Linked DNA regions of Struthio camelus. The protein of the gene in region 1 interacts with the protein of each later gene in a pairwise test. Links are inferred from orthologs where the notes say so. Each region holds a gene or a part of one and is shown on either strand. Other genes may lie near its edges. The genes, in order: SH3BP5, SOS1, SPTBN1 and TNKS.

Region 1 (7,180 bases):
TCACAGGCTTGACACACAGCACTAGCTTCTGCTAATAAACAAATCCAGTTCCAGAATGCAATCACTTTCTTTTGTTTTGGTAAGGAAATCACTGATCCTTCAATTACAAAACAGCTGCAGCTATGGACAGTTTGATCACTTCTTTATTGCTGTTTGACCATCATCTTTGCACAGTAGACCTTTACAGCATAATTTGAGGAGGAAGTGGACAGACGCTTCACTGCCACTAGCTACAAAACTCTTTCCAGCTTCCACTGATAAACCCCAGGGCAAGGAACAATCTATACCATTTGTACACACTTTAGTAACGGAAAGCACAGACTTAAAGGCCTACCTGTGGCTTCTGAACACCAAATCTTGACTCAACTCAAAACTACTCTGCCTTTCCTCCTTAAGACACAGCACTAAAAACGAATGAAAACTAGGTACAGACTTTGGGCTAATAGTAAAGTCTTCTTGTTTGTCAAAGAACAGGGGAAAGGAAGGAATCAAATGCAAAGAAAAGATTGGAACCTCCCAGGTATAAGCCTTTATAAAGGCTCGGCTGGCCTTTCCTAAGGTAACACATTACAGTTCTGGCAGCTTGAATATTGAACCCATTTGTTTTAACAAAGAGGAAAGTGAAAATTACATTTACAGTAGATTGCACCTACACAGCAACTACTTGTAAATTTGTTAGAGAGCAAACAGGGAAACATACACTATAACATACAACATACTTACTGGAATATGTGGTAAGGTGATTGTTACTTCATCTCCTTTACCAACTTGGAGCTCCCCTTCACAAGACGTATCGATCGATGCTGGTTTAAAATCATCTAAAGAGGAAAATAATTTGGATTCTATTCATGTGAAACTGTTTCTTAGAGCCTTCATAATTCATCCTCCCCTGTAAAAAGTCACTGCACGTTTACTGTGATATAGGGAACATTAAAATACACGTTAGCGCTTACAGCAGGGGTAGAATAACATACCAGCACAATGTGCCTATGCTCAGAGCTCCAGTCACATGACAATATCAGATTCTAAATTTACTTTTTAAAATGGAAGTAACTTTCTAGACCTTTGTGTGTGCAAGACCAAAAGCAGGCTTCTCCCAACGACGTCAGTACAGCGACACTTGATTTTGCAGATTTTGTAAAACTGTTCCATGCATCTCAAAAGAGTATTAACGGCAAGCCCCAGTGCCCTGTATGGGTCTTGCCACTTCCAACCCAGAGGATACTTCTGTTCGTGACAAAGAATAACTTAGCGAGGCCATCCCAGTTAGCCTCACTGATATTTCTGACAGCCTTTGATAACAGCCTTTTTGCCTCCGCACCTCCACCTCAAGCGCAGAGCAGCTCTTAAACCCCACCTGTGAGGGGGAAAACAGAGGTGCTGGTCTTATTTCACCACGCTTCATGCTAGGACAAAAACACTGTGAATAGAGAGCACAACTAAGGCAAGACACTGGGATAGCTATAAGCTGCCCCTAGTGTTTTTGGTGCCTTGTACAGAACACTCTGTCCCTCAAGCAATACACTTTTGTTTACTGTATTTAGTTGAACTAAGAACATTTTAACTTCAAAGTATTTTCCCCTCAATTACTCAGCTGCGATGAGCCATAAAAACCAGAACAAATGACCAGAACACATAACATTTTGACAGAGAATTTAGACAAAGCGAAATAATATCAGATAGATATGGATATAGGATTTTTTTTTTTAAAACAAGCATCCATTAAATCCTAGCATCTCAGAATACAAAGAGGTGCAATTACATTCACAACCAAGACTTTTAATTATTGCATTAGTTAAGACACTAACATCTCAGAACAAATTTAAAATGTAATTCCACTAGGAAAAGCACGTTTGCAGGAAAAAAACAGCTTTGTAGCAAATTCTCATTAGGAGGACATTAATGTCTAATTGAGTTTTACTTTGACAGCACAACAAGCAAAATCAGGCACACTTGACTTAATCCTCATGCCTTAACTGCCAGACCAAATCATATCCTTGGTTTTCATCTGACCAATCTATTTCTAGCTATTGTTTCCCATCTACTTCATGTGCAAGTTTGCTAAATAGAACATAAGCTCGCTGTAGAAAGGCTAGGGTCTTTGCCAAAAAGGGATCACAACTTTCAACAGCGCAGTCACTAAATGAAAAGCAAAATATCACTAACGTGCTTCTTTCTTGGATATTAACAAAATATAGAGTTATTCCAAGCAAACACTCAAACAATAAATTGTTTTCTTTTTGTATCTACTTGGCTAATTTTCCTGTAGACGGAGGGCAAACATGTCCACCTAAACGTAGCTGCAGTCCTTTTTCCAAAAGTCAAGTTTCTTTAGATGTGTTTTCCATGGATAATCCAGTTTTTCAGTTCGGAATTTCATAAACATTGCAGAAAAAGATGAGGTATTTTAAGGAGCAAGAGACAAATTTAGCCTGCAAAATCCTCTTACTGTAGTTTGTATGAAGAGGATTAGGGGAACACTATGATGCTCAGATCCTAGACTAATCATTTAAAATCAAGAGTTAGAAGAAAAAGTTATAATCAGCAAAGCGAAAGAGATCTCACTTGAAAGTCACTGACTACAAATACAGCACACAGAAAGCTCTTTGAAAATAAAACTGGATTTTTCCGGTTGTAGTCTGAAGTGTTCTGGCTTTGCAGTCCCTTAAGAAATTGATTACTGAAGACCCTTCAGTCCTAGAAATCCAAAGTATTATCTGGACATGACCTAGGTTTAATTCATATGCTATCAGACAGCAACCTCATTTGTTTGATGGTTGGGCTATTTTAAAACTTTGATTTATAAGTGAAGATTTACTACTGTGCCAGTGCTGAATAAAACTAATGGTATTATGAATAAACAGTAAAATATATCACACACATGCTACGGCCTTCTTTAGCATCATGGGGTTATGTAAGTGTAATAGAGGGGTGAACCACACAAAACTTAAGTGTTAATCTGCGGGAGAGAGTTTACTATCTAGGGAAACAGCTTCTCTGTAAACACTGATCCTCTGCTTGGATAATAGCTCAGTCTAGAAAATTGTTCTTTCAAGCCTCACTCAGGTGACTAATCTCACTGAAATTATTTACTCATAGTGTATGAAAGCAGGCTATGAAACCAGGCCTAGGAGTATACATCATACAACAAAAAATCCTGCTGTTAATAGTATAAATTCTCCACACTAATACAAAGATACTAAAATACAGTTTCACTATAATTCTCGTCTCCTGTTGCTGATTAACTACTAATTTTAAATGTTTAGAAAAAGTAATGAAAATGAAAAAGCAATTTCTTGTCTACAGCATTCAAATACAGAGATACAGGTGATCTCCTCTTCCAGGAGGAGATCCTCTAATATGATATAAAATGTATTCCACGCTAGAAAACAGCAGTTGAAAAAGACGTTTGGTGTCTTAGAAAAATACATTTTTCCAGCTCCTCCAAAGCAAAATTACTGCTCGAGACCTTGCCTCAGCATTTATCTTATGCTTATTACCACTTGTTAGGCAATACTGCATGCGTTGGAATCATTTCTGCTTGCCTTCCTGGAAAGTGACTTACAATAGACCTTGAGAGTCAACAGAGCCGGGGAAAAAGTTGCTGGGTTACATGGTGCCTCATTACGGCAACAATCAGTTAAATTGAATCGGCTGCAGACAAGCTGTACTCCTTTCCCGACACTCCTGCCCACCCAGAAGAAGCCAGACCAGGGCCTGTGGTGACCTGTAACACCAGGCCCATAAGAAAATGGAAAGCCTTCCCTTTGAGGAGGAGGAGGCTTTATGCTCTTAAACGATTCACGTGCACTTCACGAACAACTCCAGAGCCCCTTTGTCTTCTGCAGTCTGCCTCGTTCACACTTTTGCTCTACTAGAGGGGGCCGCGCGAGGAGACCCGCTCTCCCAGCACGTCTGTTTGTAAACGCTTCCAGCGCAGCCCTGGCCGGCTCTCCGTTGCCCTCCCCCTGCCCCCTCGCTGCTCGGGCTGCAGCCACAGAGCCAGAGGGCGAAAACGGGCCCTGGGGGGGACACGGGGGCTAGTTGGGGGGGGGGGGCAGGGAAGAGAGGATATAGGTCGCTGAGGGGGAAGGAATGGGCTCTAGGGGGAACGATGGACTCTGAAGGGGCAGCAGGGGCGGGAATAGGCGCTGAGGTAAGGACTGGGGAGGGGGGGAAGGAGGGCTGAGGAGGGCAGTAGGGGCGGGAAGGAGGGAGAGACGGGCGCTGAGGAGGGACGATGTCGGAAGCCGGCGCGGCATGAGGGGTGGCAGCCGGCCGGGGGCAAGCCCCACGGGGGGTAGGGGAGCCTCGTCCCCCCCGCGGGGAGGCAGGGCCGAGGCGGCGGCCTCGGGAGCGGGGTTGCGGGGGGGGGCGGCTCCGAGGCAGGGCCGGGCACCCCCCGCCATGTCGGGGAGGCGCTGGCCACCCCCCCCCCCCCGCCATTTCGGGGAAGGCAGCGAAGGGCGGCAGGAGCTAGAAGGGACGGCGGGGCCCGGGGAGGAAGGTATCGCGGCGGAGGGCGAGCTGCCGGGCAGGTAACGTGTGTGTGTGTGTATGTATATGTCCCCCCCCAACCACCACCCCGGGCGGGAAGGGGCGGGGGCGCTCACAGCGGATGGTGTGGAAGGAGGCCTTGGGCCGGCGCTCGAAGCTCTCGCCCAGCTGCAGCGGGTGCTCCTCCTTGTCCAGTAGCGGGTTCGCCGAGCCGTTCATGGCCCCGCTGCCGTGCCGTGCCGTGCCGTGTCCTGCGCCGCCCGTCCCTTCCTCTCCTCCGCCCGCTGCGTGCGCGGCCGCCCCGCGCCCTTCCGGGCCCTGAGTGCAGCCGCGAAAGTGCTCCGGGGCCGAGCCGAGCCGTCTCGTCCCGTCCCGTCCCCTCTCCCCACAGGGCACCGAGGGCAGGTGGGCGCCGTTGGGGGGGCACGCAGGGGGTCTGGCCCCGTGTGGGGCGCCCTCCCCCCCCCCCGCAGCGGGGTCTGGCCGCCCCTCGCGGCGTGGGGCGGGGGGGAGCGGGGGCTGCGCGGTGCTAACGGCTGCTAACGGCTGCTGGGGGGGTTGCGGGGCGGGCGACCGTTATCGTCGTGTCAGCTCTTTGGTTTCTGTCTAACACAGGGGTCTTTCCAGACGTAAAGGGGGCAATTTAAACGGGTCATTTCCCCCCCCCCCACTCCCCTCTCTAGCTTGTCTTACCCCAAAAAACCCCGCACGCGTTGATTTGATGCGTGCCAGGCGCACAGCAGAACCTTTTTGCTGCTGAAACTTCTCTTTTTGTTTTTTTTCTTTCTTTCTTTGAGGATATACCTTCAAGAAAAAATCAAAATATTACATATTTTGAGGAAAAGCCTGTGTCTTTAGTAGATTTTCCTTCTTCAAGGGAGTCTCATCGCTGTTGGCCTTTCCCAGCCTTCCTGCGGGCAAGCGGCGTGTGGTCTGGCTCCTGTGAAGCTGGGCACAACGGGCCCGCTTCCTCGTTTCCCGCCGTTCCCGCGTTTGTGTGTTGTGTTTGCACTGTTACGTTTGTACTAACCAAGATAAAATAGCGGAATGAAGTACTGCTCGTTGTTGTTGTTCTTTTTTGTTTTGCTGAAGGGTAGAAGTTGTTGTTTTTCCTCATTTCCGTTTCTGTGAAGCGGCACGAATGCCCAGTCCTGGGCACTGATGGACGTGGATGGGCGCGTTTTGGCCTGCCAGGGGTTTCAGGGGAGTTACTGGGTCACGCGGGATTTAATTCACGTACGCCGTCTGGGTGTTTGTGGCAAGGCAGAGCTCAGAGCTAGTTTAACGTTAGGGAAATGACTTGAATCCTTTCCTGGCCTCCATAAAGGTGTTTTTATTGCCTCATTTTTGTTAACTTCTGAAAAAAACATACCCGTCATTGTTCAAACTGCTGTGAATCCTCAGGAAGAGGCAGTGGAAGGAGTGCGAGCTCAGGAGAAATGTTAAGGTGAATATGGTTTTCTTTGCCAACTGAAACGGGACTCTTAAAAGGTGTGCCCCCTGCTTTTCAGTTGTGAGCTTTCTGAGGTGTTACTAACCAGAGTTACAAAGCCCGTGTTTTCCTTTTCTAGTCGATTTTAGTGCAAATAAACTTAGAGCTGCATCATCTCTCTCTGGTTGGGTAGTTTTCTATGATACGTGTGGAAGACCAGCAGAATTTGTCCCCTGTGTTCTTTGAGATCAGTGTAGTGTCTTACCTGGTGCTTAGCTTTGAAGGAGGATTTCTGAAAATAAGAGAAGCAAGTCTGGTGGTTTTGCGGTCTGTTATGTAGGGCAGATCACCATAAAACCTCCGAAAGTGCATACAAAAACTAACTATCTCCCTCTCTCTCTCTCTCTCTCTCTTTCTCTTTTGTGCTTTTAGATCCTTGGTTATTTACCAAAATTAAGTGATGGAAACATATATATGCTAAAAAAAAAATCACTGTTGGGGCTTTGGTATTCACATCTCTGTGAAATACTCTAGGATGTTCCATGAAAACCCACCAGCCGATTGCTTAAATTTAATAATTACATCTACTGAAGCTGATGCTTTCCAAAAAAAAGGCCATAGTGCAAGGATCCTTAGCCCCGAAGAAGCTGAGAGACTGGCAAAAGATAAGGTTTTGGTGACTGATTTCAAACAACTAAAATTGGAGAAAGAGGCACAGAAGAACTGGGATCTATTTTACAAAAGAAACAGCACCAACTTCTTCAAAGACAGACACTGGACAACCAGAGAGTTTCAAGAGTTAAAAGCATGTCGGGAGGTGAGCTGAATACACCTATCTATAAGTAAAGAGATATGATTCATTGTTTTCAAATGATGTAGTAATATTTCTAACAAAGCCATTAAGGTGAGAGCTCTCACGTTTTAAGTGTGTAGTGCTTTGTGTAGTGTAGTCTCTTTTAATGTCAAAGATATCTCCTCAGGATCAGTTTAGTTTCAGTTTATAATTCTTTCATATTGTATATGGAGAACCAAATCTGGAATATTTATTTTGCATCTGCACAGAGAGACAAGTTGTCTATTTAGGACGCAAGTTACAGCACTTAAAACACTGTTTTAAAGAAAGCATCCAGAACTACAGGCTAATTGCAAAATATCCTTAAGGGGAATAGTCAGATGCATCTGTTGCTCATTCTATCTGGATGAGACACAAGACAGCAATAGTACAACAATCTGTTAATTAAGTGGGTGGAT
Region 2 (6,836 bases), on another chromosome or scaffold:
CTTCCTAATTGAGTGCACTGGAGTCTATCTTGACAGCATCTGAAGGAGAACTGGAGAAAAGGGATTACATTATGATCTGAATGGTACAAGAGCTGCTTTTTGTGAATGCAGCTGTTCCATGCAAACACAGTGCATTACAGAGCCTATTGTTAAGGTCAATATCTAATGAAAGACAAGGCATACTTTCCTAAAATTCACTGATGTAGGAAGGGATTTGTTCTTGCAACATATTCTGTTTTGTGTTGTTTCATAAAAACATGGAATCAGAACAACTCCTTGGGAAAAATACATATTTTCAATGGTTTAACAACACGCGGCTTGTAAGCAATTGATTCTGGGGCTATAATTTAGACTCAACACAACAAGCCTACTCAAAGTTACAAAAGGGTAATGGCAGTTTAACGATTCAGTCCACATGTGGTAGTTCTCCCCAGTGGCTGGGAACACTCCATCCTGGTGTACATACTTTGGCAACATTAAATCAAAATGCTGCTCTCCTAATCAGAGATACCACTTTGATCACAAAGACAGGCCTTTCCAAATTGTCAAGTCTCATTTCCAAATACACAGGAAAGCTTCACAACCCCGTTTGCAGATCTAACTGGCTTTAAGGGAGAGTTCAGAAAGCTACTTGCTGTCACTACCTGAGACCGAGTATCAGGATCTGGCCAGCTAACTGGGAGTCATGAGGAAAAAGCTCTCCACTAGTAACCACGGGATGCTCCTGAGCTTCAGCTAATCTGACTCTGACTGCGACAGCTTACCCTAGCAACTTAGCAGAAAAAGGCACAAGGCACCATGTTTCCCTCCAGGCTAGTTCTGCCCTTTGACCCTGCTGGCATATGCTGCCACGTTCTCTTTTTTACCAGCTGCACACACTGACGTCTAGCTATACGCTCGGCCTATAGCACAGCAAAGGGTCAATGTCTCAAGCCCACTGGTTGCAAAGCTGCAATATCATCTCTGTTTTCTGAGCAATTCAATGATAAAGAAGATAGTCAAAGCAAGCATGTTGTATTTTTGATGGCTTTACCTGCCAATTATGTTCATAACTTTACAGGGCCCGTCAGGATTAAACACTCTAGCTACGACCACGTGTACCCACGCAAGCTCGTAAAATACTCTGTTTGGCTTTTCCATTAGCTTTAATGTTTTCATCTGCCATTTAAGTATCGAGTAACTAGAGTATCCAGCTGTTCAGCAAGGTAGATGGCAATATGGACAGATGCTTCATTTCTACATTTGCAGGGACAGGAACAGTAAGCAAAGAGGACTATGATTCTGGAGCACACTGGACTACAGCCTGGGAGCAGATAAGAAACAGGTGGTGACCTCATGAAGAGCTGAGGTTAGAAGAGTTAACATCTGCCACACAGTTGCAAGTTTGAGTGTAGAAGAGTCTTCAGTAGTAACTCCACATCACTCCTGCCATCCCTCTGCACACAACAAGAAACAGAGCATAACACAGTGAAATCAAGACCACCATACCTTGCTTGGCCGGTTTGTCATCCTTCCTAACTGGTCATCGTTGGCCTTCTCTGATTGTTGACTTCCGACTCCAGAATTCCTTGTCTCCTTTTCCCCAAAGCGTTCATCCAGCTCCTTCGGTGAGGATCTTCAATCCAGGGCGGCTTCACGAATGGTTTGTCCACTGGGATGAAAACTAGTGCTTCACATGTAGCAAGTAATTCCAAAGTCTTAACTCATATTTGCCTTTGGATCCTCGCTCTCTTCCTCCAGCATTTAGCACTGAGCTTCATTCCAAACTTGATGAACCTCTGGGTGGGGGAATAACCCACCCGCCACAAAAGCAAGCTCTCAGGGGTTCAGACCTCGGTAGCTCCAGGTTCCAACCAAGCTTCCGCCGGCTGGCTGCCCAAGCGCTTAAAAGCGCCATAAGAAGCAGGGTTTGCCTGGGTCATACGGTCAGCCCAGAAGTTTAGTTTCAAAAAAGTGACTAATGATCAGGGATAAGACATTTGACAGCTTAGCCTACGGATGAGACAAGTAAGAGGACTTCCAAGAACTGGATGAAACCACACAGTGCAGGAGATCTCAAAGAGCATGCCCAGAAAAACGTGAGGCAACACATCGCAAGAGGAAATTGGGAAGAAATACTGAACGGGTACAACAGCAACACTCGAGACTTCCAGTCCGCGCTGGGGAACCCAACGCTTCAGCTAGCCCTGGGCGCGCAGGAGTCGAAGTTAATCACCATAACCAAACAGACTCGTAAAACGCTGCTGCGTATGACTAAAAAGCGTTGACCGAGTCCAGCGATCTGAGGCCGGTTCGAGCCGGAGCGTCTGAAGCTTAATCTTAAGCCTTCTACTTTCTGAACTCTGGCGGCAGAGGCGGAAAAGGAGCCCCGACGATTTTTTCCTCTCCTCCCGATCAACTCTTTCCACGCCGCAGCCATCACCTTCACCACCCTCCCGAGGGAGCAGGGCTCCCTAGCCCGCTCCCACGACGCCTCCTCAGCGGGAAGCACGTACACCGAGACAGGCTTTAACGAAAAAAAAGCCATTTAACCCGTACACTGATTAAACCAAAAATCCTCTCAGGAGGATTTCCCCTCCCCAACTCGCCGTCTCACCGGTAAACCCGCGCTAGGGGACGAGGCGCCCGGCCCGGCGATGCTCGGCGGGCACCGGCCGGCGCGGCGAGGGAAGGCGCTTCCGGAGCGCGCAGAGCCCTGGCGGCGGCGGCGGCGGCACCAGGCCCCGCCAGGCGGCTCCGCCGGCTCGGCCGCCCAGGCGCCGCGCCCGGGGCGGCCTCGCCTCGCCGCGCCGCTCCCCTCCCAGGCCGCCGCCGGCGCGGCCCGGCGAGCCCCCCCCCGCCGCCCCCGCTCACCTTCTTCAGGGCGGGCACCAGCAGCCCCCGCCACTTGGGCGCGTTCTCCTCGCTGAAGAACTCGTAGGCGAGCGGCTGCGCCTGCATGGCGGCGGCGGCGGCGGCGGCCCCCCCCCGGCGGCGCGGGCTCCTCAGAGCGAGGCGCGGCGGCGGCGCCCCCCCACCACCACCACCACCGCCGCGGCCGCCGCCGCCGCGGCCGCCGCCGGCAGGCCACCAGCGGCGGGGGGGGGAGGCGGCTGCCGCATTCCCCTCCGCCCGGCTCTCGGCGGTCGCCCCCGCGGCGGGGGGGGGGGGGGAAGGGAGAGGGGGGGAGGAGGGCGGCGGGGTCACGCGGCGCGGCCGGCGGGCCGCGAGGGGCGGGGTCGGCCGCGGGGGAGCAGCGCCGCCGCTCTGCGCTCCGCGCGCCCCTTCCTCGCCCGCACGGCTGGCGGCCACGGCGCAGGCGCGGCGGCGGCGGCGGCGGCGGCGTCCCCCCCCCTCCGCCCCGCCCCGCCCCGCGCATGCGCCGCGGCGACGCGTGGTCGCGCTCCGCCGCCCGCCTCCCCCCCCTCCCATCCCCTGCGCGCGCCCCCTGCGGGCGGGCAGCCGTTAACGGCCGCGCGGGCCGGGCCGAGCCGAGCCCCCGCCGCGAGAGGACGGGCTCGGGCGCTGAGGTGAAACCGCTCAAACACCGCTCGCCCGCGCCGGCAGCGCTGCCCGAAGCGGCCGCGGCGCCGGGGAGGAGAGACGGGAAGGGAGCGACGGTGAGGGCCGCGCTCCGCAGCCCTGTGAGGCGCTGAGGGGCGCCTGCCTCCCCTCCGCCCCTCTGCCGGCGAGCGGCAGTTCGCAGGGATCGTTACTAACGTCCCCGAGGCAGCCCATGTCCTCACAAGCCTTCCTTGCCCCGGTGGCTTCGAGCACGCGGAGACGTAGCCGGCGGTGAGGCGGTGCGACGCCTGCCCGGGGACTTCTGTCTCTGACGCGTCCAGTCATCTCGCATGTGGACAGAGATCACAGGTAAATGAACACCCTGTTAAAGCAGCGCAAGAACAGCTGTAAGGGCGAAAAGTGAGCTTGGTTCTTGGCGGAAAGCACCACAAAGTCCACAGTGGTCAGTGGGGTCCGATAGGCAGGATGGAGGGAGGGATGATGCTGGAGAGGAGAAGTTTTTGCTCTGTTTCGCAAGGTGCGGGGGCCCAAGGGCCGGAAGAGGCAATAGTTAGGTGCTGTTAGGGAGCACAGAGAGCAAGAGGGATAGGAAAGATGTATGATCACTGAAAGGAAGGCTTAGGACCAGCTTTCTAGTGGGGAGGAGGGTGAAGTACCCACACAGAGTGCTTCGGAGAGACTGCGGAGTCTTCCTTCGTCTCAAGGACTGGTTAGACAAACATCTATCAGGAATGGCATGCGTGTTGGGAGGCTTGGCTAATTAATGTTTGTGAAGCACTCTGGGGACAGGAGACGTTCTTGAGGAGCTAAGCAGTACTTTGGCAGGTAATGTATTTAGCCTCTCAGAAAGAGCTATCTTTACCCCTCAGCCCTGCCTCGGGCATTTTTCCTCTACACAGGTACTCCTGTCTGAAGGAGTCAGACTTCTGCTTTGAACATGCTGGAAGAGGGATGAAAGGAGGGAAATTTCACATCTCAGAGCTATTATTTTGGCCTGCCAGGCTGCCTGCAGATTCAGGAACACTCAGTCTCAGCATCTGATAGACGGGGAAGATGCTGTACTCATTACCTTATGGTGAAAAATCTGTCTGTCAGAGCTTAAATCCTGAAGCATTATGCTTCAGGAGCTCCTGAATATGCATAACGCTGGGTGTAAAATCGCACCAGCGCTCTGCTTTCCAGCCCCTCTCTTTGGAGGTGATGGTCAGATGGTGTCAGGGCTGTGTTCTGAGACCCCCTGAGTACCAGTGAATGGCCTACAATATCTCTTCCACTCCCACAAAAGAGCATCGGATAACGTAAGATTTCAGGCGCTGTATTCGCAGTTGGTTCAAATGTTCGGTAAGGCCACAGGACACCCTGTGACTCTGAGCTATCAGCACTCAGCCCCCCCCCCCCCCCCCCCCCCGTATTTAGCCTTCTTGCTCCTGCCTTTCAATGCCTTTATGCCCACTTCAAAATCCCTTTTTAAAGACACTGAGGACCTGGACAGGAAGGAAATGCTGTCTTCCATCTGAGGACCGAGTATTGCCTAAGTGGTCATGACTTGGGCTGTTGGTGAAAGCCTAGGGTTGCTTGGTTGGCTTTTTACACAAATTCAAGGCTTCCCTTCTGACACAGCCATTTTCCACAGCGGGGCTAGGACCCTGCCATGCCCAGCCCAGTCCAGCATGGACCATGAGCCCCCCATGCCTGGGGGGGCCCTGGGTTTGTCGATGTGGACAAGGCACTCCAGGTTCCTCACTGGCCACTTGTTCTCTGCCTAACTGCAGACACTCTGTGTGCTGTATGGGAGTGTGCGGTTTCACTTGTGAAGCAACTTAACAAGTTGCAACTATCGCTATGGCTGTCTGGGGAGCTGTTGCTTCACCGAACATGGCAAAATTAAACCAGCATCTAAGGCAGGATGGGAAAAATCCCACCTATCAGTTGAACGTGACTGAGAGCAATAGATGTTGTTCGCTTACCAGTTGCAGTCCCAGACCTCTGGATTCGTGGCCCAGCATCCATGGAGGGCAGCAGAGGCAGCCAAAGTGCAATCAGGTGCAGGTGCTGCTGGTTACTGGATATAAACATGTGCGTTGCTACAGGCAGGGTGCCTAAGGACCTGGAGGGAGGATTGCAGCCTTCCTGGCATTCACTATGGAGCAGGCTATTGCAGGAAAGTGCATGGAGTTAAAAGCTAGGAGCTGCTGAGGGACTTAATAACAGAGGGGTCAAAGCACAAGGGGAAGGAGAAAGCTTGGTGGCAAGGGGAGATGCAGGCAGCCTGGCAGCAGGACGACCTGCCCTTACACCGAGAGAGGCAAAGCTGAGGCTGATCGCTCTTGCTGTCATCACAGCAGAAATGAAAGGCTGCAGCCAGTGTGGTGGTGGCTTGCAGGCTGTCTGTGGTGTATGACGTGCATGGGCAGGATGGGGACATTTGGGATGCCCAGGGCTGCTGCCAGAGGGAGAGGAGGACAAGCTGGAGGGGCACAGCAGCCCTTTGCCATACTCTCCTCTGAGGGCTGGAAGAGCAGCCGGGGCTTACGGTCAGTGACAGCACCCCTCCTGACTGAGCAACTGCCAGTGGGGGATAGGAGGGGATGCCACCAGGAGTGACTGACAGGGGCTGAAGACATACACTTGTGTTTGGACTGCAGGACGCTGCTGGGAGTAGCTGCCGGTCAGATATCAGAACAAAGGAAGGGGGACCTGAATGATGTTGAATTTAAATTAGCTCCAACTAGCTAATTAGGGGGAACGTCTGCACCCAAAGAGGTGTTCCCCAAGGAGGGAAGGAGACAGTGATGCAGCCATATCATAGAGGATGATGCTGGGAAGCAGACAAGCTAACTGCTTTCTCCAGCATCGCTGTCCACAATGGAAGCTTGAGAGCCCACCAGGGCCTGCCTTGGCCTGCCCCTCTCCAGACATGTGTCCCCTCACAGCTCCCTCTGCACCCCTCAATACAGGCCTGGAACATGGCTCCCTATAATCCATGTTTTAGATCAATCTGGACTGTTTCCTCGAAGGGAGGCAAGAGGTTTAGGCACATTCCCTGTTTTTATCAGCTTCTTTTCAGCCCTTTTACATAGAGCCCTTTAAAACCCAGCAGGGCACTGCTAAAGCCAAAGCCTGTGATGAGGCAAGAAAGTCACCCTGCCTGTGCCCAGTGCCTCAGCCTGGTGGTTGCATGCATCCCCACCGCTGCCCAGAGACCTCTTGGTGCCCCCAGCCCAGGGCACATGGAGTCTGATCTCGGGGTCATGATTGCAAAGCTGTAAGGAACAAGTAGGTAGCAACAAGGGTGTCACCTTGCAATGCTCTTGCTTTCAGTTGATGCCGGT
Region 3 (7,806 bases), on another chromosome or scaffold:
CTGTCTAACTGACTTTACTTGTTGGTATTATGAAGGGCTGGCGTTTTAACTTGTAAGTATTCCCTCATTAATTGTCACAAAGTTGCAGGTTTTGGCTTTTGAACCCAGCAAGCGGAAGGTTCGCACTGAAAACATTAACAAATATTTGTGGTCGTACTCTAGTGAAAAAACATCCTCTCTACCAAACCCGAAGATGCTAATTTTAAAAATCTGTGGCAAAACATATGTAGCTGCCACATTCTTTACAAAATGCGGGCTCTTTAAAAAGAAGAAAATGACTGTCAGTAACTGGGATAACTGGCTAGAGCCCACAATACTCCTGCTATTCTGGTTCCTGCCTCTCTCAGGCATTCATTCCCACCCAGTTATTTCCATGATAATCCATGGCCCACCCCTCTTTGAGCTATGTGGGTTAGAAAGCCAGAATCTTAAAATATGCTGGATGCTCTTGCCCACTCTCTCCCCTGTATTACAATCTTTTTCCTGCCTACTTGTTTGAGATATATTAATAGTTGAGTGAAGGATGATTTTTTTTTTCCTGATGTTTCTTAAAATCCTGGCACTCAAACAATTATATGTGTGTGCGCGCATGTGCGCGTGTGTCTGGAATGCAACGTTAATTAATTTCTAAAACTCTACTAAAACTTAAGCAACTTGTTAGCAGAGTAGCAAAGCTTTGTCACATATACTTAGTGAGTTTGATCTGCTTTTTGTTACAAGTCATACCAAAGACTTACTGGCTAAGACCTTTGCTTTCTAAATTACTGAACAAAATCCAAATAATGAGGTTCACAAAAAAAGCCTGGTTAGGTGATACGGCCAACCCAGATAAAATGTACAAATATATTTTCATGATATTAATCTTACCCCATCTAATCTTATAAAAATTAGCCATAAATAGAGAACCAGTGCCCTAACTGAATTGTGGTCAGCTTAATAATATGATATCCATGTACTAGAAATGCCCCATTGCTCAAAGATGTTGCCTTGCTTTGCTGAAAGGCAACTGAGTTACAAGCTAGTCTTGAGTCAACTCCTGCTCTAACATGGCTAGTGGACAACATACATTATTTAGTTCTCTGAATGTTGCTGATGGCTGAAGTAAAAGCAGTATTCATGCTGGATCAAAAATCTACAGAGATTTATCCTTCAGAGCTTGAAATCTGAAAGTCAATGCATACTTAGGCACTTGCTGGTTTTCATTGTCCATAGCCAAATTATTCAACTTTTTCCAAGAGCAAAACTCCGCTTAAGCTAGTGGAAATTCTGCTTGGTAAAATATTTGAGCATATAGGCCACACAATTCAGAAACTCTACTGAACTTTTCATGTTATTTGGGCCAGATTTAGTCAACCTGTTCATCTGGAGCAATCTCTTAATCCTGCAGCTATTCCAGCTAATTTCTGTACCACTATCTGGGGAAGTTCAGGAAGGGAAGAACGGTTCTCTTTTGTGTTTCTTTCTTTTCTCTGTGGATACAACTTTTAAAAGTGATTGTCTTGTCCTTGGTTACCGTAATGTTTACGAATCCAATGTCTTGGATTATTAGTTGTTAAAGAAAACAAGCTCATTCTACCTCCATTTGCATGACGCAGAAGCAGGCACCTTCTAGTATCTATTCAGAAGCTCTAATCGTGGACTCTCATTGTGGGCGACGCTATACAAATAAAGAACACAAAAATGGTCCCTGTATTAGGCAGTTTACAATCTAAAGGTGCTGTTAAACAAGGTAACTGAGCTGATCTGTTTGCTGCCACCAAAAGAGGAGACCCTGCTCCCCTCTTGTCCTGCTGCTCCCAGAGCAGATCCAGACTTTCTTCTGGTCCCCTCACAAGCCAGCTCAGCTCACTAAACCAGAACTACTTTTTTGTTGCTGTTGAATTAGGTTTTACACCAGAACCAGTACAACGGAGGAGCAAGACAAGGGGAAGGGGAGCTGGGCTGCCCCATAGCTGCTTACCTTCTACTGTGCCCCAAGAATTAGGGGTGAACTAATGCAGGCAACAGACAGGGAAGTACAAGCGCAACGCTTGTCAAGGCTCTTGAAGGCTTCATGACAAAAGAGCATTTTAAGGAGAATTTTTGAACGCAACTTTTTCTAAGTTGGAGGGATGGAGAAATGGCAGAAGGCATGAAGTTAGTTGTCTGATAGTGGTTCATACTCTGGAAAAGTGAAAGATAGGAGCTGGTGCTGAACAGATATACAGGTACAGGGGGAGATGAAAGTGTAGCTTAGCAGCTTACGCCTGATCTAACTGAGAAGCGAGACCACCGGAGGGATGCAGAGAAACGTTGGCCTGTTCAAAACGACAGATGAGGAAAATGAACTTGCAGCAGCATTCAGAGTGAGTTTACAGAATCACAGAATCGTTTAGGTTGGAAGGGACCTCTGGAGATCATCTAGTCCAACCTCCCTGCTCAAGCAGGGTCACCTAGAGCATATTGCCCAGGATCACATCCAGACGGCTTTTGAATATCTCCAGGGAAGGAGACTCCACCACCTCTCGGGGCAACCTGTTCCAATGCTCTGTCACCCTCACAGTGAAGAAGTTTTTCCTCAGGTTCAGATGGAACTTCCTGTGGTTCAGTTTCTGCCCATTGCCGCTTGTCCCGTTGCTGGGCACCACGGAGAAGAGGCTGGCCTCATCCTCTTGACATTCCCCCTTCAGATACTTGTACACGTTGATGAGATCCCCTCTCAATCTTCTCTTCTCCAGGCTGAACAGGCCCAGCTCTTGCAGTCTTTCTTCCTAGGAGAGGTGCTCCAGCCCTCTAATCATCTTGGTAGCCCTCCGCTGGACTCTCTCCAGGAGTGCCATGTCTCTCTTGGACTGGGGAGCCCAGAACTGGACACAGTACTCCAGGTGAGGCCTCCCCAGGGCTGAGGAGAGGGGCAGGATCACCTCCCTCGACCCGCTGGCAACACTCTGCCTAATGCACCCCAGGATCCCATTGGCCTTCTTGGCCACAAGGGCACACTGCTGGCTCATGTTTAACTTGTTGTCCACCAGCACTCCCAGGTCCTTCTCTGCAGAGCTACTTTCCAGCAGGTCAACCCCCAGCCTGTACTGGGGCATGGGATTATTCCTGCCTAGGTGCAGGACCTTGCACTTGCCTTTGTTGAACTTCAGGAGGTTCCTCTCCGCCCACCTCTCCAGCCTGTCCAGGTCCCTCTGAATGGCAGCACAGCCTTCTGGTGTGTTAGCCTCTCCCCCCAGTTTAGTATCATCAGCAAACTTGCTGAGGGTGCACTCTGTCCCTTCCTCCAGGTCATTGATGAATATATTGAACAAGACCGGACCCAGGACTGACCCCTGGGGGACACCACTGGCCACAGGCCTCCAACTTGACTCTGCACCATTCACCACAACCCTCTGAGCTCGGCCATCCAGCCAGTTCTCAAGCCACCTCACTGTCCACTCGTCTAGCCCACACTTCCTGAGCTTACCTGTGAGGATGTGATGGGAGATAGTGTCAAAAGCCTTGCTGAAGTCCAGGGAGACAACATCCACTGCTCTGCCCTCATCTACCCAGCCAGTTTAGGTAGGCAAGGCTGCAGAAAAGGCTGTGGTAGCAACTGAGAAGTGAGGTGATGACAGTCTCGAGGAGAGAGTTGGCCATCTGGCTGGATAGCGAAAGGTAATGCTCTGGACCTAGCCCGGAAGAGGGAAGTCGGGGAATGATGGTGTCCAGACCAGCGACCTGAGTGGGAAGTGTGATGGTACTATCTGCTCAGGTCGCAGATAACTTAGAGGCCTGTATGTGGTTACAGCTTAGGAGCTCTCTTTTCTACGTGGTGAATTAATGGTTTACCATCCACAAGGTGTCAGAAGGACAGGATAAGATTTTAATTTCGGCAGACGATAACAAGCCTGGAAAGGTAGATCCACACGTTGTCCACAGAGAGACTGTTACTGAATTTGCACCTCAGGGTGAGCTTACCCAACAGTCAGGTGCAGAGGGAAGCACAAACTAAGCTTCCCTTAAGACTCCCGCTGGACATTGGGAGTATGAGAGGATGCACTGAAGGGAGGGGTAAGGAAGAGGCTCTGGGGGAGGCAGGCTCCGAAGCCAAAGGAGAACAAAATATCAAAAAGAGCCAGGCTGATAATTTTGACAGGATGGAAATGAAGCAATGTTCCAGAGATTAGGCCAGGAAGCAGATATTAGGAACTTTGGCAAAGTAGTTGAGTGTGAAGGGTAAGAGCCAGATAAGAGAAAGTTTAAGATAGAGTCAGAGGAAGGGAACTCCAGATAGCAGTTAAAGAGCGTGAACGTGGAGCTGAGAAGCGGGAGAGGAGACAATGACAGCTGGGGAGGCAGATGAAACCAAGCATGGTGTTTTAAAGGTGGAAAACCCTAGGCCGTAGCCGCATTGTGAGCGAGGGGGGACGAGGATGGGCACAAAGAGGCTGAGGACGTGCAAGCAAACAAAGGGGCTAGGCTTAGCGAAGGAAACGTGGAGCAGAAATGTCTACCTCTGGACTGGCTGGAGAAGAGTTGCATGGGGCGGGGAGGGGAGCCGAGCAGGGGAAAGGCACATTGTATGTGAGCCATTTTCTCTGGAAAGATGTTGGCAAAATGCTGCCCAGAGAGGGAGGAAGAGGGGATGCGTGGCAGAAGGGCGGCGGGGATGGAGTTTCAGGGCACGCGGTTACCCTGGCAAAGGCGAGCTGTTTCCCTGGGAGGGTGGCAGAAGCAAAGCGGGAGAGGATGACTGTGCAGGGGAGGAAGTCAAGCCCAGGATGGGATGTCCACTGGGAATGACAGAGCAGCAGAAGAGCAGCACTAGCGGAAACGGATGCTGGGGGAGAGCCAACATTGTCCTTGCGATAGGAGAGGGTGTCAGAGGAGGAGGAGCGTGAAGTCTGGGGAGACCCCCGCAACGCAGTAAGCGCCAGGGAAGGAGCGGGGAGCAGCGGGCAGCGCCGGGGTAAAATCCAAGGATAATTTCGCGCGAGGAGCCGCGGGGTGGGAAGGCCGGACGGGGTCGGGGGGGGGGGGGGAACCCGGGGGGCGCCGGGGCCGGTGGGGGGGACCTGGGGGGCGCCGCCGGCGGCACCTGCAGGTCCCTGCGCGGCGGCGGCGGCCGCTCGCAGCCTCCGCAGGGCCGGGCCGGGCCGGGCTGGGCGGCACCGCCGCGCCCCCCCCCCCGCCGCCGCCGCCGTCCCCGCCCGCCGTCCCGCCCCTCGCAGCCGCCGCGGCCGGGCGCAGCGCGGCGCAGCGCAGCGCAGCGCGGGTAGCGCGGGTGCCGCCGCCGCCCGGGGAGAGCCGCCGCCCGGCCGCGGAGAGGTAGGGAGGGACGGGGTGGCGGGCGGGCGGGTGTGTGCGTGTGAGAGAGAGAGAGACACCGGGCGGCGCCCCCCCCCCCCGCCTTCGCCGCGGGTAGCGGCCCCGCCGCGGCCTTCCTCCCCTCCTCCTCCTCCTCCTCCTCCTCGCCCCCGGCACCGCCCCGCTCTGCGGCGGCGGCCCCGGCCCGGCCCGGCCCGGCCTCCCCCCGGGCCGCCGCCCCTGCGCCCCCCTCCCCTTCCCCGCGCAGTGCCGCCGCGCAGCCGCACGCCCCGCCGCGGTGCGGAGAGGCGCGGGCGCGCTGTGGCGCGGGGCCGCCAGGCTCTCCAGTTTTTTATTTTATTTTATTTTATTTCTTTAAAAAAATTTTTTTGGGGGTGGTGTAGATTTTTTTTTCTTTTTCTGTGCTACGGCGGTGCGCTCGGAGCGGAGGCGGTGGCCGGAGCGGAGCGGCGCGGCACGGTGCGGAGCGGGGCGGAGCGGGGCGGCGTTTGCGGCACCGTGGTGGCCGGCGGCGCTGTCAGGTCGCTGGCCACTGCGGCGCTTTGTGCTGGGCGAGCGCGGGGCTGGCGCGCAGCGCCGCGGCGGGGTCCCGCTCGCGTCCCGCGGTGAGCGGGTGCGTTGCTTCGGTGGCCGGTTTTATAAATCCGCAGTGATAAAAGGCGTAGTGCGTGGGCTTGATATCATTATCTCTGCTAGGTAGCTCTTGCTGATGGATATAGGCCGGGCTTAACCGAAAAAAAAAAATGGCAGACTTGTGCTAGGTACTGTGAGACTGCAGTCGCTCTGAAAAATCCCTTGCTCATGGCACTGGGGTCCGACCTGTTCTTTAGCTAGCCCTCCTTTCAGGCTGGTTCTGTTGATCTTGAAATGCACAAGGGAAAAAGAGTGAAAAACGGAATTTGTTGTTTTAATATCTTTAAGCGTGAGCAAAATTTTCTTTCTTATTCACAGGAGGTGAGTCGAGAAGCGATCTATGTTTTGAGATTTTACTCAGTGCTGGCCATAGGTAAAAATGCTAAATACTCAGTATCGAGAGCGTAAGGTTATTGTAAGTGGGAATGAACATGAACTGTGAGGATTTGGAGCATTCGGCACAGCCTTCGTCCTTTATTGCCAGGGTAGAAATACTATGAAACTTGCTTATTGAACTATGTAGCTAGTTTAGAAAAATTACTGTTATTCTTTCTGACCTTTGAATGTATTGTCCTGAAAGACCTCTTGGGGAACAATGCTCCTGGGTCCTAAGGATTATAAAGCCTGGTCGTGTTGAGTAATTTATTCAAAGAAATATCAGCCATGTGAAAATGCCATGGGAGACTGTGACACCTCAGGCCATTGCAGAAAAGCCCAGCTGGAAGGAGGACTTGCATATAGTAGGAAGCCTCTGGAGGGAGAGATAGGAGATGAAAAGGATATGGGGATAAAGAGCCAGAACTGGTTGGTGATGGCAACTAGCTGCTCTCTCTGAGGTATTGTTTCATCCATTGTTGTTTGCTTTTTTTTCCTCACTAAAGCTATTTCTTCCTAAAGCAGAAATGGCTGTTGTGATGCCTACATGACTTAGCAGTGGCTGTACGGCTATGGGGAGTGTGCAGAGGAGCTGGCTGGCTGGCTAATGTGTCACAACCAGTGGTGCTAGATTGGCCAGAAATAAAACAAATAGGAAATAAAATTTTTCTAAGGTGCATGTTTTGTTGCTTCATACTATAGTGCAAACTTGGTACTAAAAATACGGTCAGGCTATAGACTACCGGTCCTTTTTGTGTTTTTCTGTAGTGCGGGTTAAGTGCAGTAAATGGTATTCAGCAAGGCAAGATGCAGCATTTTTGGATGAAATAGGAGCTTGCAGCAGTTATGTGGCAAAAAGCATTACAGATGCTGTTTCACCTCTATAGTGGCACAAATCCTGCAGCTTTTGGAATTGCTGTGCATTGCTGCACTCTGCCTGCACGCAGAAGAGGACCAGGGAGATGGCAAGGCATTCGTGCTACGTGTAGGGAGACCGGCACACTGCTGCATGGCTTTCAGACAGCCCCTTTCAAGTAGACAACCAAACCGTTTTATAAAAACAAATCTGTTTTATCTCCAACGTATATAAAATCTCATCCATTAAGCACCATTTATTGGATGGACAATGTAATGCTCGTTTATATTACATCACCTGACTAAGGATTTGTTTTTAATATGGGTCAGTTACAGGATTTAATTTTGTGGTTGGATTACTTGCATAATAAGTGTTGTATTTTGTTTGCGAGGAATATATGGGCATATTTTATGGAACATGAATGACAATAATCTATTTATTCAGATTTTTAAGGGTCAGACTGTGACAGGTATTTAGACAGTTAATCTCTACAGGCACCTAAATTCCTGAGTCATCTGATCTGGGCACAAGTTAAAAACCGGTAGCACAATTTATCATTGCCTATTACCCATGAGTCAGCTCCTAAATCCAATCCAGGCTGGTATCTCTGACCGCAGGCCTCCTGCTCGCCATTTCACGACTCTGGGAAA
Region 4 (7,401 bases), on another chromosome or scaffold:
CATTGGCACACTGCATTCTTCAACTCCTGTTCCTCTTATAAGAGGGGCCAAACAATTTGTAAAGTTAGCTATGACTCATAAAATTGTGCTATTACACATAACACTGCTTAATACACATAGCAGACTCCTATGCTTGTAAGCAAAGGGGTTTTATTTCTCCTTTTGTCCACAAAGGGGAAGGAGATCCTATCAATGTATTGCATCACTTGCAACTACATACTGCCTAAGACCAGCTGCATTCAAACTTGTTTACAGGCCTTTTCAAAATTTAGGACCTCAGTCTTTCTCTAATAAGAAATCTATCTAATGCTATTAGATGTCAAACTCATTTCAGTCAGATACATGCTTCATTAATTTCTGAGAGAATACGCTTGGCAGCTAAGGAAAGTCTTTAAATCTACAAAAATAGAGAACAAACAGTCTTATTAGGTATAAGAAATTCACCTGCTGTGTTCCTCATGCTACAAGGAAGCATCTTCCATTGCTATTACAGTAAAATCGCACCAACACTCTTGCCTTTCAAAGCCTTAGGTTTTGTCAGCTCCTTCTCTAACCAAAGTTCAGGTTTTAAGTGAAATTAATATTGTACCACTACAGGACCAGCACTACAGTTTGTACTAGTCTACCACTGAAGTTATAACTTGAAATTTTAGCACTTAAGGGTAAGAAGCGGGGTCTAATTTTAAGCTGGAATCCAAAGTGAGCTGATGTGAGATGAGGCCTCCAAAACATTAAGCACTTTGTGCACATGCATGCAGTTGTGCCAGCATCACCTCCCAGGGCTCACTGAAATTAAGTAGGCCTGCACATTTCAGTATTTATTGGTAGAGCTCAGGGATTAGAGGAGATGCAAATGGCTCAAGACCAGTACTTCCCATAGAGCCACCACGAGATGCCACTTTGACTTTGGAAATGACAACAGACCTACACAAACACAGAGATAAACTGAACAGCACTACCTGGAGTCCCAAGCAACGCTGTGTCAGATAAATGCTTATTTTTGTAACTGATTTCCATGTGGTGCTTTAGAGCCATACACCAGCATTCAAATATTGAACATAGAATAAAGCCTGAGTAAAGGCTTCAGCAACTTCTGTTTCTCTTTCATATTGGCTATTGTGCTGCTTATCTGACAAGGGTTACTGGAGCATGTTCCGAGTTGTAGAACGGGATCCAGAACTCTACTGTCAATATTAAAGAGCTCCAGCTTGTGGTGCCAAGTCAGGAAAATTAAAATAGCAACCACTCTGTCAGCCAGGAGCAGGCCAGTAAGCATGGCACATCAGCAGGAGTAGGTCAGGGCATCCCATAGCCACTGGCCTACTTACAAGCTCAGACAAGATCCGTGCCCCGCTGGATGGTATCAAGGCAATCTGTATCATTGTGGCATTTGTCAGAAAGACTTCAATCTGACCACGGACCTAGCAACCGTGCAAGTCCTGACTTCAACTATTTTCCCCATTTTACTGTTATCACGGGCTTCACTCCCCCTGTGCCTCTAGCCATGGCCAGCCCCCCACAAAACGCTCTCTTTATAGACTATACTAAGGGGTAGTAGCTATGCTTGGTAGGAGACAATGTTCATTTGCAATTGAGGTCAGTCACTGAATCTCACTTTTGACTTATTTTATGACAGTGACTATTTCTGGTCACAATATCATCTCTTCCCCACACTGAGAGGCATATTGTCTCCTGGACACAGCTGTAACCTCCCACTGAGTTCAGCTGTTCCACTTCACCTCTTTCCCCAGCCCGCTCAAACCACAACAGAGGCAGAGATCAATCCGTAGCTACACTGAGATAACAGGAAAAAAAGCAAAACCAAAAAACACACACACACACACACCAGTCAAAACACAAAAATGCATTGACTTTGATTCCTAGTAAGCCTACCTGCATCACAGGGTTCCTTGACTTTCAAGAGCTACTGCAATACAAGTGAAAACCTTAAATCCAAACCAACTCTGCCCTGAGTTCCAGAAACATAGTGACATCAGTTGCTCACTTGCTAAGCCCACATGCTGAAGTCAGCAACTTGTGGGGCCAATACAGGGAGTTATTTTAGTACTTTTAGATTATACGGCTTCCCTCATGCCCCCACAGGCTCTCCTTTCCCCCTCTTCTCACCCAAAGGGATGATCCTCTGCCCGTTTTGGGGACGGGGGAGAAGGAGAGAGAGGGGTTTAACAGCCATCTACTCCCGCACCCAGCATTAGTGAAACGGCACCAGGAAAAGCGCCCTCGCGCTCCTCCTCTCCCAGGAACGAGCTTGCGCCCCCGCGACCCCCCGGGACGCTGGAGATGCGCTCCCTGCTGCGCCCACCCAGCAGGTGGGTGCGAGAGGGGCCGCGGGAGGCGCCGGTGCAGGACGCCGAGGCACCGGCTCTCCCTGCTCCGCCGGGAACGGGAGGCCGGGCCGACCCCGGCGCCCTCGCCTCGCCCAGCGGCCCCGGCACTCACCGGCAGCGAAGTGGAGCGGCGTGGACTTGCGGCCCGCCATGTCTTTGGCGTTCACGTTGCCCGTGTCCACCAGGCGCTTCACGCGCGTCACGTCCCCATTGCGGCAGGCCTCCAGCAGCTCGCGGAAGGCGCCACTCGCCGCCCCCAGGCCCGCCGCCTCGGGGCTCTCCACCGCCGGGCTCGACGCGGCCGACGACGACGCCGACGAGGAGGAGGAGGACGACGACGAGCTGCCGGAGCTGCTGGCCGAGCCCGGCGGCGGGCCCGGGGCGGCGGCGGCGCCCGCGCCCTCCGCGCTCTCCGGGGCTGGAGGCCGCTCGGCCTCGGAGGGCGCCTCGCCCTCAGGGCCGGCCAGGCTGTGCCGCTGCGCGGCGGGGGCGAGCTCGGCGGGCGCCAAGCTAGGGCTGCGCGGCGGCGAGGCGGCGGCGGCCGGCGGCGAGGCCGGCCCAGGCGGCGGCGGCAGGTGGTGGTGGTGATGGTGGTGCTGGGAGCGACGCGGCGCCGCCATTTTTCGCCCTTCCTCTACCGCCCCCCTCCCCGCCTCCCTCTCAGCCCTCGTCACTGCGGCAACGGCGGCAACGCCCGCCCACGCTTCCGCCCCCCCCCCCAGCCAATCCCCGCGGGCGGCGCCCGGACGTGACGACAGGGGTGCTGGGGCGGGGCGGGGCTTTCGCGGGCTCCACCCCCTGCCGGGGCCGCGGCTAGCGCCCGCCTTCCGAGCAGCTCGGGGCGCGCGGCTGCCGGCACGCGCCGCCGGGGGGCGAAGGGGGGGGGGGTGCCTGGCTGCGCGCGCCCCCCTCCCCCCCCCGCTGCACGCGCGGCCCTCGCACATTGCCCAGCCCTGGCCCACCTGCCTCTTCGCACACTCACCCCCAACCTTGACTTCTTGCACGCTCATCCAGGCCTTGACCCTTGCACACTCACCCCCAGCCCTGGCCCACCTGCTTCCTTGCGCACCCCCAGCCTTGACCCCTTGCACATTCACCTCCAGTCCTGGCATGCCTGCGCCTCGCACACTCATCCAGGCCTTGACTCCTTGCACACTCACCCCCAGCCTTGACCCCTTGCACGTTCACCCTCAGCCCTGGCATGCCTGCGCCTTGCATGCTCCCCCCCCGCCAAGGGCTGGAGGATCCAGCCTGACACATTCCCACCTGGGCAGCAGGGCGGGAATCCAGCATTGCTGTCGAAAAGACGTTTGGTCTGAGATTTTGAGCAGAACGAGTCAGTCCTCCTCGTCCCCTACCCCAAAGCCGCCTTCCAAAGAGAAACCAACTAGCGGCCTGGAGAGTGAGTACTTGGCAAAGACCTCATGAGCTCTGGGCTCGTTAGGGCCTGGGAGGTCCTCTGAGTAACGAGCAGGTCTGAAGTGGTACGGGAATAGCGGGCGGGGGCTTTCAGCAAGCAAAGCCCAGAATCGGGCTTTACACCACCTTTGGTAACTCGAGGTCTTTCTCCGGCCCCCGGAGGGCTGCGCTGCAGATAGAAATCTTATTACTAATGCAGCTGCCTGGCTCAGTAAAGCGAGGGAACCTCAGGCTTCAGATGAATAATTAAAAACCCCGTCAACAGGCCTTTGCAGGGCCATCATCTAAAATTAGTAACTCCGAGCGCAATTCTGGGTGTATAACGCAATCCGCAGCAATGGGATCCGTTTCTTCCCTCCTTTTTCCCCCCCTGCCCCAATGCCACGCACTCTTGGCCGTTTGACAGCCTTCGCTTCAGCTGCTGAGAACGAGGGGAAGGGTCTGGGGTGATCCCCGAACGTTTTCGGGCTCCGGCACCGCTTGCACCAGCACCGACCCGTCGCTCAAGCACAAGCCCGGCCCGGAGAAAGCGGGGCCGGGAGGGGGCGGGGCGAGAAGGGGGCGGGGTGGGCGGGGCGAGAAGGGGGCGGGGTGGGCGGGGCGAGAAGGGGGCGGGGCGAGAAGGAGGCGGGGCGAGAAGGAGGCGGGGCGAGGGCGGGAGAGGGGCGGAGCGAGAGCGCGGCGGGGCCCCGCCCCCGGCGGCGGCGGCTACGTGCGCGGCCGGCAGCGGCGCGGCGGGAGCCCGCAGCCCGCCGCGGCGGCGGCGGCGGCGCCGCGCCCATGGCGAGCGGCGGCGGCAGGTAGGGCAGGGCGCGGCGCGGCCATGGCGCAGACGGAGCCGGCGGAGGCGGCGCGGCCGTGGCGCGGCGGTGCCGCCGCCCTGCTCGCGCGGAAGCTGCGCGGCGGCGGCGGCGGCGAGCCCGAGCCCGAGCCGGACGCGGGGCCGCCGGGGGGGCCGCCGCCTCCTCCCGCCGCCCGCCCCCCTCCCGCCGCGGCGGCGGCAGCGCTGGGCGAGCTGGAGGCGCTGAACCTGAGCGGGCGCGGGCTGGAGGAGCTGCCCGAGGAGGTGGGCGCCGCCCTGGGCGGGCTGCGGGCGCTGAGCCTGCGGCGCAACCGGCTGCGCCGCCTGCCCGCCGCCGCCCTGCGCCACCTGGGCCGCCTGGCCGAGCTGGACCTCAGCCACAACCGGCTGCGGGGCCTGGGCGACGGCGCGGCGCTGGCGGGGCTGCGGGGCCTGCGCAAGCTCAGCCTCAGCCACAACGAGCTGGGCGCCGAGGGGCCCGGCCTGCCGCCGCGCCTGGCCGAGCTGGGCCGCCTCGAGGAGCTCGACCTCAGCTTCAACCGCCTGCGCCGCCTGCCCGAGGGGCTGGGCCGCCTGCGGCACCTCCGCACCCTCGACGTCGACCACAACCTGCTGCCCGCCTTCCCTGCCCCGCTGCTGGAGCTGGCCGCCCTCGAGGAGCTCGACTGCTCCGGCAACCGCCACCTCGGGGCTCTGCCCGAGGGCATCGCCGCCCTCCGCCATCTCAAGATCCTCTGGCTGAGCGGCACCGGGCTGGCGACCCTGCCCGAGGGCCTCTGCCAGCTGGGTGCCCTCGAGAGCCTCATGCTGGACGGCAACCGGCTGCGGGCTCTGCCCGCCGGCTTTGGCAGCCTGCAGCGCCTCAAGATGCTGAACCTCTCCTCCAACCTTTTGGGGGAGTTCCCTGCCGCCGTGCTGGCCCTGCCCGGCCTGGAGGAGCTCTACCTGAGCCGCAACCAGCTCACCCTGCTGCCCCCTGGCCTCTGTCAGCTCCGCCAGCTCCGCACCCTCTGGCTGGACAACAACCGCATCCGCTACCTGCCTGACTCCATCGTGCTCCTCCACAGCCTGGAGGAGCTGGTGCTGCAAGGCAACCAGATCGCCATCCTGCCCGAGGGCTTTGGGCAACTGTCCCGCGTCACCCTGTGGAAGATCAAGGACAACCCCCTCATCCAGCCCCCGTATGAGGTGTGCATGAAGGGCATCCCTTACATCGCGGCCTACCAGCAGGAGCTGGCCAACTCCCAGCCTGCCCTCAAGCCCCGCCTCAAGCTGGTCCTCATGGGCCTGAAGGATGCGGGCAAGACCTTGCTGAGACGGTGCCTCATGGAGGAGGACAGGCAGAGGGAGGACGCGGGAGGTCCGGAGTCAGGGAGTGCCCAGCCCAGAGGCTACCCTGGTCAGCAGCGAGATGCTGGTAGAGTGCCGGTTGGGTGCTGCCCCTTCCCGCAGCCTCCGGACACCTCCTCAACGCGGGTACCTGCCATGCAGCAGCTGGAGCAGCTCCCTGTTGAGCGGCGGGATGTCCCCCATGCGCCTTCTCGCAGAGTGCAGGGGGAAACACTGTGCCCGGCGCCATCACTGCCACCGGACGCCTTCCAAGCGCCATCAGGAGCGGGACTGCCAGGAGGCAGCAAGGGCATTGAGGTGATGGACTGGACAGCGGATGCTGAGAGGGGTCTGACATTCATTGTGTATGAGCTAGCGGGGGACCCGAGCTACGATGTGATCCAATCTTTCTTCCTCTCCCCCGGGGCCTTGTATGTGCTGGTAGTGAATTTGAGTGCCTACGTCCCTCAGCACTTCTACCGCTCTGTGGGCTACTTCTTGCACTGGCTTGGTTCTAAGGTGCCCCATGCTGTGGTGTGCATGGTGGGAACCCATGCCGACCTCTGCGCCGAGCGGGAGCTGGAGGAGAAGTGCCTGGACATCCATCACCAGATTGCTCTGCAGGAGAAACGGGATGCTGAGGGACTCCAGAGCTTGGTCCAGCAGGTGGATGAGGCTCTGGGACAGGACTTTGACCTGCGCTGCTCCAGCCCGCACGCCACCTTCTACGGGGTCTCGGACAAGAACTTGCGGCGGAAGAAAGCCCAGTTTCAGTATCTTCTGAACCACCGCCCACAGATTCTCTCCCCGGTGCTGCCCTTCAGCTGCCGGGACCGTTGCCAGGTGCGTCGCTTGCGGGACAAACTCCTCTCAGTGGCCGAGCACCGGGACATCTTCCCAAACCTGCACCGAGTGTTGCCCAAATCCTGGCAAGTGCTGGAGGAGCTGCATTTCCAGCCGCAGGCTCAGCAGCTGTGGCTCAGCTGGTGGGACTCTGCCCGGCTGGGCTTGCAGGCGGGCCTGACGGAGGATCGGCTCCAGAGTGCCCTGTCCTACCTCCACGAGAGTGGGAAGCTGCTCTACTTTGAGGAGCACCTCACACTGCGGGAGTACGTGTTCCACAACCTGCCGCGGCTCATCGATATCCTCAACGTCTTCTGCCAGCGGGATGCCACTGTGCTGCTCCAGAAGTTGCTCAGCGACACCCACATCGATGAGCTGAGGGCCACCCAGCTCCATCACTATGTGGAGGGCTTCTTGTTGCATGGCCTCCTCCCTGCCCACATTATCCGCCTGCTTCTCAAGCCCCACATCCAGAGCCGGGAAGACCTGCAGCTCATTCTGGAGCTGCTGGAGAAGATGGGCCTCTGCTACTGTGTCAACAAGCCCAAATGCAAACCCCTGAACGGGGCGGCTGCCTGGTACAAGTTCCCTTGCTATGTGAAGAACGAGGTGCCCCATGCAGAGGCGTGGATTAACGGCGCCAATCTGAGCGGACAGTCC

What was found.
Region 2: the proteins of SH3BP5 (region 1) and SOS1 interact in a two-hybrid assay, tested with the Homo sapiens proteins (2 studies listed by BioGRID and IntAct). The link is inferred for Struthio camelus from reciprocal best matches to the Homo sapiens genes SH3BP5 and SOS1.
Region 3: the proteins of SH3BP5 (region 1) and SPTBN1 interact in a two-hybrid assay, tested with the Homo sapiens proteins (2 studies listed by BioGRID and IntAct). The link is inferred for Struthio camelus from reciprocal best matches to the Homo sapiens genes SH3BP5 and SPTBN1.
Region 4: the proteins of SH3BP5 (region 1) and TNKS interact in a two-hybrid assay, tested with the Homo sapiens proteins (2 studies listed by BioGRID and IntAct). The link is inferred for Struthio camelus from reciprocal best matches to the Homo sapiens genes SH3BP5 and TNKS.

The regions. Positions count from the first base shown.
Region 1 is NC_090943.1:48,870,460-48,877,639, forward strand, and holds the start of SH3BP5 (SH3 domain-binding protein 5), read left to right. Parts: upstream 1-4,172; 5' UTR 4,173-4,538; intron 4,539-4,613; coding exon of another isoform or gene 4,614-4,716; exon of another isoform or gene 4,717-4,902; intron 4,903-6,361; 5' UTR 6,362-6,464; coding exon 6,465-6,746; intron 6,747-7,180. Other genes in the region: EAF1 (ELL-associated factor 1), read right to left, coding at 724-818, 4,614-4,716. UniProt on the Homo sapiens protein: Functions as a guanine nucleotide exchange factor (GEF) with specificity for RAB11A and RAB25. Inhibits the auto- and transphosphorylation activity of BTK. Plays a negative regulatory role in BTK-related cytoplasmic signaling in B-cells.
Region 2 is NC_090944.1:139,621,821-139,628,656, reverse strand, and holds the start of SOS1 (son of sevenless homolog 1), read right to left. Parts: upstream 3,007-6,836; 5' UTR 2,941-3,006; coding exon 2,854-2,940; intron 2,494-2,853; exon of another isoform or gene 1,510-2,493; coding exon of another isoform or gene 1,489-1,509; intron 51-1,488; exon of another isoform or gene 1-50.
Region 3 is NC_090944.1:119,317,410-119,325,215, reverse strand, and holds the start of SPTBN1 (spectrin beta chain, non-erythrocytic 1), read left to right. Parts: upstream 1-4,796; 5' UTR 4,797-4,890; exon of another isoform or gene 4,891-4,933; intron 4,934-5,179; exon of another isoform or gene 5,180-5,292; intron 5,293-5,522; exon of another isoform or gene 5,523-5,751; intron 5,752-7,806. UniProt on the Homo sapiens protein: Fodrin, which seems to be involved in secretion, interacts with calmodulin in a calcium-dependent manner and is thus candidate for the calcium-dependent movement of the cytoskeleton at the membrane.
Region 4 is NC_090945.1:3,094,056-3,101,456, reverse strand, and holds the start of TNKS (poly [ADP-ribose] polymerase tankyrase-1), read right to left. Parts: upstream 3,003-7,401; 5' UTR 2,969-3,002; coding exon 2,461-2,968; intron 1-2,460. Other genes in the region: MFHAS1 (malignant fibrous histiocytoma-amplified sequence 1), read left to right, coding at 4,591-7,401.